Linked DNA regions of Sus scrofa. Each later gene encodes a partner of the first gene's protein in a complex. Links are inferred from orthologs where the notes say so. Each region holds a gene or a part of one and is shown on either strand. Other genes may lie near its edges.

What was found.
Region 2: the proteins of GCC2 (region 1) and RAB6A are in contact, whole or in part, in a crystal structure (PDB 3BBP), measured with the Homo sapiens proteins. The link is inferred for Sus scrofa from reciprocal best matches to the Homo sapiens genes GCC2 and RAB6A. Residues at the interface, in NP_852118.2 of Homo sapiens: Thr1585, Ile1588, Leu1589, Glu1591, Gln1592, Leu1595, Leu1596, Glu1599, Arg1602; in NP_942599.1 of Homo sapiens: Lys15, Ile46, Gly47, Ile48, Trp67, Arg74, Phe75, Ser77, Leu78, Ser81, Tyr82, Asp85.

Annotation. Positions count from the first base shown.
Region 1 is NC_010445.4:47,748,943-47,752,753, forward strand, and holds part of GCC2 (GRIP and coiled-coil domain-containing protein 2), read right to left. Parts: intron 3,402-3,811; coding exon 3,297-3,401; intron 2,631-3,296; coding exon 156-2,630; intron 1-155. UniProt on the Homo sapiens protein: Golgin which probably tethers transport vesicles to the trans-Golgi network (TGN) and regulates vesicular transport between the endosomes and the Golgi.
Region 2 is NC_010451.4:8,196,289-8,200,680, reverse strand, and holds the start of RAB6A (ras-related protein Rab-6A), read left to right. Parts: upstream 1-1,468; 5' UTR 1,469-2,092; coding exon 2,093-2,162; intron 2,163-2,458; exon of another isoform or gene 2,459-2,895; coding exon of another isoform or gene 2,896-2,917; intron 2,918-4,392. UniProt on the Homo sapiens protein: The small GTPases Rab are key regulators of intracellular membrane trafficking, from the formation of transport vesicles to their fusion with membranes.

The DNA.
Region 1 (3,811 bases):
GATGTGAACACGTTTAATATTTTTCAAAAATTTGCACTTGAGCTGAAATGCTTAAAATTTACTTCTGAAATCAAAGTGTAAAAATAGTGATATATACATTTTCTAGAGTCTATGACTAGAATAATTTAAATCAATAAAATTCAAATTAATAGTACCTTTAATGATACCAACTCTGCTCTCAAGTCTTGTAATTCAGATTCTTTTTCTTCTAGCAATGGCTTTAGGTGTTCAAGTTCCTTTATAAAAGATTTTTCTTTTTCATTATGGTTTTCATTTCTGCTACATAATTTTTGAGAGACTTCTTCCACTTGAATTAAGAGATTCTGATTTTCAAGCCTTGTTTGTTCATTAGCATTCTTCATTTCTAGAAGATCATGCTCTAGGGCCTCTTTTTTTGAGAGGGTTTCTTCTAACTCTTTCCTCAAGGTAACTTTCTCTTGCTCATGATCTCTCAGTGAAGACCTAAGTTTCTCACACTGGATTTCATTCTCTTCTTGAAGGAACTTAATCTCTTTTTCTAACTCTGCTACCCTTGCATTGTACTGAAAAAACAAGCTGTGTTTTTCTTCATTTATTTTAGCTAAGGATTCACTTACAGCTTGCAGGACATTTACAATATCTTGATCTTCACTTTCTTCTGAAACTTTTGACTCCATTTGTTTAAGAAAATTACACAATTGGGTTTTGACAAGTAACTTCTGATCCTGTTCACTGTCAAACAGTTTATTTAAATGATCTCTTTCTTCAAGTGCTAACTGAAGTTTCTTTTCTAATTCAGAAAGCTGTTCCTTAAGCAAAAACTCTCCTTCTTTTTGTGACAGAAGAGCTTCTAAATCCCTGCTCAACTGGTCCTTTTCTGAGGTCAGCCTACTGTTTTCCTCGTAAAGAGACTGTGCTTCAGATGACATTGCTTCCTGCTCTCCAGACAGGGTCTGCAACTGAGCCAGAAGCTTTTCTAGTTGTTGGTTATTTTGATCCTTTTCTTTTAAAGTTTCCTCTAGTCCTGCTGTTAATTCATTTACTTTTTGTTCTAGTTCACTGTTGTACCGGGTGGTCTGCTCTACTTTTTCCCTAAGTTCTACAATCAGTTTATTTTCCCTTTCACATTTTTTATGGAGATCATTCATCTCTTCATGAGAACTCTTCATTTTACTTATGAGATCATCTTTTTCCTCAATAAGATGACTTATCTTTGCTTCCAATTCTTGTGCCATGGTATCTCTCTGACTGAGACTAACTAAATATTCTTCATTCTTTTCTTGAAGGGTCTTTATGGTATTTTCAAGTTCTGGTACAAATTCTTGCTGTGATAATAACTTTTCATTTTCTGTCTGGAGGCGATTCACAGTTTCAAGAAGAGCATCTTTTTCATTAAATGCAGTTCTTAGCTTCTGCTGAAGTTCATTAACATCAGATGCTTGCTGCTGCTTCATTGATTCAAACTCTTGACTTATTTTTCCAGCAGATTCCCCCAATTCTGTCTGTAAAATTTCCATAATCTCCCGTAAACTCTCATAATTTAAAATTGCTTCTTGCTTTTCTTGTTGTAGATTTTCACACTGTTCCTTAAGACCTTGTATTTCAAACATTAATGTTAATTTTTCTTTTTCTGAACCTGACAAAAATGCCTCATTTAGTTCTGATATTTCTTTTTGATGTTGTTCCTTTAGACTTTTTACTTCTTTGTTATGTTGTTCTACGATACAGCGAAACTGTTTATCTGAATCTTCTAGTTCACATTTTAATTTTTCGATTACACATCCCTGTTCTTCTTTAGCTAGTAATAATTCATTAATTTTAAATTCTAAATCTTCCCGTTCATGAAAAAATTCATCCTTTATGTGTTGAGCATCAATTTCAAGTTTTAATTTAAGATTATTCATGTAAGTTAACTCATCTTTTAAGATAGTATGTTGAGACTCCAATTCTTTTAAGGCATCTTCTAAGTGTTTCACTTTTTCATTTTCTCCTTGTTCTACAAGAGTATTTTCTTTTAAGAGCAAAGAACACATCTGATTTTCCTGGTTTGCATTTGAGGTTTTCCCTAGGTTTTCTAATTCACATTCATATTTCTGCTGAATGTTCTTCTCCTCTCCCTCACATTGCCTGACTAAATTCTCCTTTAGCTGATTTAAATTATTTACTTCTGCTTCATGTTCTATAGCAGATGCTTCAATCTGGCACATCAATTCTTTCACCTCTTCTTGGTGTGTAGATTTCAACCGTAAAAGTTCTTCTTGCAAACTATTAATATCTTTTTGGTACTGCTGAGAATTAGCCTCAATGACTCCTTGGAGATGAGTGATTTCTTGCTCCTTTTCATTTGTGGCAGCTTCTAACTGCTGTTGTAGATATAAAATTTGCTCCTCAAAGGCTGGCTTGATTTTCTGAATCTCTTCTTGCAGTTTTTTAACAATTTCTTCAGAATCATTGTGAAATTTAAGTTGTTTTGAAAGCTCTAATTGTTTTTTGGCTGCTTCTTCCAGTTCCTTTTGCCAACCAGCTTTATCGTTACTATGTTTGGAATGTACTGCCATTAATTCATTTTTCAAATTTTCCATTTCCTTCATATAGTTTCTTTGTGATTGTTCAAACTCCTTGTGCATATCTTCCAACTTAGTTACAGAATCCTATAAAAATAAACACACAAAAATTACTTGAGAGAAAGACACCACTCAGGGAAAATATACGATGCAGGTTCATAAAAAAGGAAATAACCAGAAATGTACATAGAGAAATATGACACTGAGATTCCAAGAATTCTGCTTAGGCTCTGACTACCTTAAGTATGATAATATAATTGGTATTACTAAGTATGTTACTCAAAGCAGTAACTAAAAGCTAGGAAATCTCTGAATTTCATTTTCTTTTAAATGGCAATAAATTATGTAAGCTGTATTAAATCATAAGGCTTTAACAAATATCTCCTGAATGATTAATAAAGCTTTTGGGAGAAAAATCAACCCAGACCCAAGAAGCAACTGAACAGATACCAGCATTTAGAGTATGTGTGAGAATCAACTTATTTAAATAGGTACTTTTTCATAAAATAGGTATTTTCCCCCATTTTTATTAAAGAATATTATAGCTAGAAAGGAGATTAAACAACGAACAAGTAAATGTCAGCTCTATCTCTGTGTAGTTGAGCTATTTCAGCTATTTTTTTTTTTTAAATATCAATCGGTTTCCTTGTTTGTAAACAGTTAAAATCAGATAGATGCCTTTTAAAGTCTTGGCTCCAAAACTCATGATTATACTACGAAATAAAAAACAAAAAAATTAAAATCTTTCCTTACCTCAACCTCTTGCTTCATTTTAATATTTTCCTTCTTCAGAGAAACACACTGTTGCTCAGTCTCTGCTTTTTCCAGAAGAATAGCATCCAGACGTTCTGTCAATGCCTGTTTTGGAACAGGTTAAAAATGGTGCATTGACTTTACTCATAATTATCTCATCTTTTCCAAACCATGCTAAGGTAAGAATATTTAAAAAGCTATACTTTGCAGCTGGATAGCTGTGATTCAACACTATGTTCTAAGGCATTTCCTGTAGTGGAGTGATTGGTCTGCAATAAGAAGTCACCCTTTTCCACTGAAAGGGAAGTGGGTGGTCACCCACGAGACAAGCTAAAATTTGTTAGAAGTCCTTGGTGGGTAACTTCAGCTTTGCGTTTTCCTGACAGGAACTTGGAGATGCTCCCACTCTGATCCCCCAGACCCCACCCATTCTCTCACTTTAAGAAAAAAAAAGTAATTGTTTCAGAGGTCTCTGCATTTTGCAGGTGCCCTTTTGTAAGACGTACTTTTCCCAA
Region 2 (4,392 bases), on another chromosome or scaffold:
ATACACATATTGTAGACGTGTAATTTAAGGTAGTTCCACCAATAGCAGATTCAAAAGGGATTTGAATCCTTTAGGAGGACTGGGTGATCTTTAAAATGTCCACTTCAGGAGGGAGTTCTCACTGTGGCTCAACAGTAACAAACCTGACTAGTACCCATGAGGACTTGGGTTCAATCCCTGGCCTCACTCAGTGGGGTAAGTATCTGACGTTGGCATGAGCTGTGGTGTAGGCTGCAGACTCAACTTGGATCCCGTGTTGCTGTGGCTGTGGCGCAGGCCAGCTGCTGTAGCTCTTGATTTGATCCTTAGCCTGGTAACCTCCACATGCCACGGGTATGGCGCTAAAAAGCCAAAAAAAACAAAAACAAAAACAAAAAACAAAAAAAACCCCAATAAATAAATACAATATCTACTTCAGGAATTCCTGCTGTGACTTAGTGGGTTAAGTACCCTGCCTTGCCTCTGTGAGGATTCGGGTTTGATCTCTGGCCTTGCTCAATGGGTTACGGATCCTACAAAGTGGAAACCTCCAGGGTAGATCTCAGAAGCAACTAGGATCTGGTGTGGCTGAAGCTGTGGCATGGGCCTGAATTTACAGCTCCAATTCGACCCCTAGCCCAGGAACTTCCATACGCCACAGGTGTGGCTGTTAAAAAAAAAAAAAGCCCACTTCATCAGGGGCATGCTCTACCACGAATTTGTTGTGTGACCTTTTTGCAAACTTGTTTTCCTACCTGAGCCTCAGTTTTACCCTATGTTTACATGATATCTAAATCCTTTTCGATCACAGTAGAAGGTGGGCTCACCTGGGCTGGCCCATCTGAGGAAGAGAGGTTGCTAACAGAAGGCCAAGCCACATCAGGCCAAGGATGGTCTTATCAACTAGCAGGTTGCAGAAGTTCAATGGGGGAAAAAGACAAAACCTGGCTTCAATTTTACTGTTCTGTGGGTTTTGTAAGTCATTTCCTTCCTACGAGCTTCAGTTTCCTCATCTGTAAAAACGTGGAGGCCCTGCTTCTGGTAGTTATGAAACTCCTGGGAGCAGGAGTGGAGAATGTACCTAGGAGGGTATCATGGCAGGAATTATAAGAAGAGGTTGGAGAAGGTGGGGGCATAGGTGAAGTGGGGCTCGCAGGAATCTGAGGCAGGGCTAAAGGCTCAGAACTAGGAACCTTCTAAACACCTTAGTACTCTCTGACTTCATCCGCTCTTGTAGGGGTCAATTCCACCTCCACGCCGGCCCCGCCTCCACCCCGCTTCTCTCTGTTCTCCTCCCCTCAGGCTCGGACGCGCCACACTACACATGGCCGCCACTGTGAGACACTTTCCACCGCTCGAGGGCAGCGAGCGCGCTCTCGCGCCGCCACCTCATTCCCATCCTTGCCCGCCCTTGACCTCTTCCGATTGGCTCATCGTATAAGTGACGAAAGCGCTCCTTACTCCACCCTTTGGGTTCCTCCAGGCTCCACCCCACCTCCCCGCTTCTCCCGACGCGAGCGTACACCTAACCACCCCCGGTCTCCGCTGCCGCGGAGCCGGGAAAGCAGGCTAAACCAGGAAGACGCCGTCTGTGGCGCGCACGCGCACGCACGCACGCACGCACGCTGGGGCTGGCGGGGCGGCAGGCTCGTGCCCGGGCTCGCCCCGCGCCGCGCCACAGGCTCGCGCACTCAGCAGGTTGGGCTGCGGCGGCGGCAGCTGAGGCGCTGAAGCGCTGCGTGTGAGAGGTCCCAGGCGCGTCTGCGGCTCCGGCTCCTCCGCCCTCACCCCAGCCTCCGAGCCGGGTGCTGAGAAGGGAGCCGCTCTGGCCTTCGGACCCCTGAGCACTCCCCTGGCTGCTTCCGACACCGCCTTCGTTCCCTTCCCAGCCTCGGGCCTCGCTCGGTGCTAGGCGGCTCTGAGGGGAGGCGGCGGCGACGGCTGCCTGTCTGTGTCGAGGGGCCCTGCCCTCCGGTCTTGCTCCGCTCCGGGCCCTGCAGCGGCCGAGAGAGCTGGGCGCCCGCCCATTCTCTAGCCTCTCCGTCCACTGCTTGGAGCCGCGTCGGTCCGGGAGGTCTTTGGGCTGAGGCGGCGCAGCTCCTCCGGCTCCATCATGTCCGCGGGCGGAGACTTCGGGAATCCGCTGAGGAAATTCAAGCTGGTGTTCCTGGGGGAGCAGAGCGGTGAGTGCGCGGCTCCCCCACTCCTGGCAGCTGGCCGCGGCTTCCCCGCACCGCCCCCAGTGCGGCCCTTCGGCCGCGGAGGCTGCTGCGGCCCTCGCGTTCGCCCTCCGCCCCCTGCCCCGGCCCCGCGTCGGCCGCCCCCTCGTCGCCCCCCGTGCTTCCTCGCCGCGATCCGTCGGGCGGATTTTGCCCCTTCTGGCCCCGACTCCGCCGGCTCCTCTCCCCGCAGCCCGGCCCTCCCCTGTCGACGTGCCCTCCCCAGTCCTCACCCCGCCCAGCCTCCTGTCCATCCCTTTCTTCCTCCGGTCTCCGTCGTCTCGCCAGCTCCCGCTCCCTTCCTTGAGCCCCACCCTTGTTCCTCGCTCTGATCCCGGTCGGTCAGCCCTGCGAGGCCCACCGGCGGGACCCGGCTCTTTGGAACCTCGCGCCGGGAGGGGGGATCTGGGCGTTGTTTTCCCCAGAGGCTTGGCCCTGAGAAGTGCAGATCTTCTGGAAGGTGGAAAGTGGGGAGTCCTAGAAAATTCTTGGATTGTTTTCACCTGGGTGGGGGGTTGGCCTGGGTTCCAGAGGGTCCACGTCGGCCTTGGAGGCGACTTGAGGATGGAGTGGTGGGGGAGTGAGGGAGGGGCGGCGGCAGTGGCGATTTTTACCCGATGGGCTAGGCTGCGGCTTGTTGGAAAACCTCGTTTTCTTCTCCTGACTTTCATCCTTGACGATCCTTTTGGCCGCGTGGATGCTTTTCCAGTCTCTGCCAGGTGCTATGTCATGATCGTTTTACTTGGAATTTTTCACATCTCACCTCTCCTTTTTCTGTTTTAACACGAAGCGGGGTCTGATTCTCCTCACAGTGGAGCAAACAGGAATTACTGGGGAAATGCTAATTATTCCATTTCTTTTTGAGTATTTTCCAATGATAGATTGAGGATTCCTGTGAGAGAAGGCTTTAGGATAACGAACATCTTTGTTTTGTAGGATTTCCTTTGGGGTCAGGGAGTAAGAGAGAGAGAAGAGATGGGTTTTTCATCTGGTTATCTAAGTTAGATAAATACATGATACCATTTTGGCGAAATGCTTCTTTTATGGTTAATATTCCACTGTATCTGATGAGTAAAATCATTTGTTTACCTGACCATGCTTCTGCCGTCATTGTACTTTGTGTTAGATAAAGGTCCTTACTTTGTGTTAGATAAAGGTCCTTATTTTGTGATGGCTGCTGTCTCTAAAATTACTTCTTGTGGTAATTCCAATTTTATGCTGTGTTATACACACTTCATACTCTGCAGTTTAGAGGTGATCACCCTTCATTGTTTTTCTCTCACTTTTCCTGGCTGTCTTTAAAATTGAGACAGTGAGAGATTAGTTCTTACGAAGTCATTAGACATTGTTATCTGTTAGGTGTTTTAGGTTAGGCTATAGAAGACATTTATTTCTTTTGATTGGGAAGAAGATAACTGATGTTAATTCAAGGCTTTTGTTACTACTTTGAACTATTTACACTAATTTGTGTGACATTAAAGTAGGTTAATAATAGTTGCAAAATTGCTTCCAATTAGACCTGAGAAATCATTTTTCTCCTTTCATACATAATTTTTTTCTCCTTGTTGTCTTACCAAGTTTCCTCTTTGTTTATTTTTTCTGAATTTGTTTCTTTAAGTAACTTGAGACCTGTGAGGTTGATCCTTGTCCAGGTATTATAACAATTTTAGGGCAGTGCCATTCATAAAATATAGCTATTGGTCATTATTGATAGGATAAGTGCTTATTGTGCACTCTAGGGATGTTTTTGCCTGCCTGATGTTGTGATGCAGAGATATTTAGTTTGCATGAAAAATCTCCATCCTAGGAAAATTTTAGTATGAATAGTCATAACTTAAGTATCTGCAGGTTTCCTTTGAATTTCTTGGGTATTTACTTCTAATTCTCATTGCAGAGTTTTATAGCTTCTCATTTCTTAACTTCTTTAAGTCTTTACTAAATCCCCTTCCTGCCAATTCCTGAAGCCATCTTAGATTTTTTTAAAAGTAAACTCAATTTTGTTAGAACAGTTTTAGATTTACATAAAAATTAAGATAATGCAGAGAGTTCACATAGAGTCCCACCCAATTTCCCTTATTATTAACATCTTTCATTAGTATGGCACATTTGTTACAATTAATGGACCAATATTGATGCATTATTAAGTAAAGTCTCTAATTTATTCAGATTTTCTTCATTTTTATCTGTTTCTGTT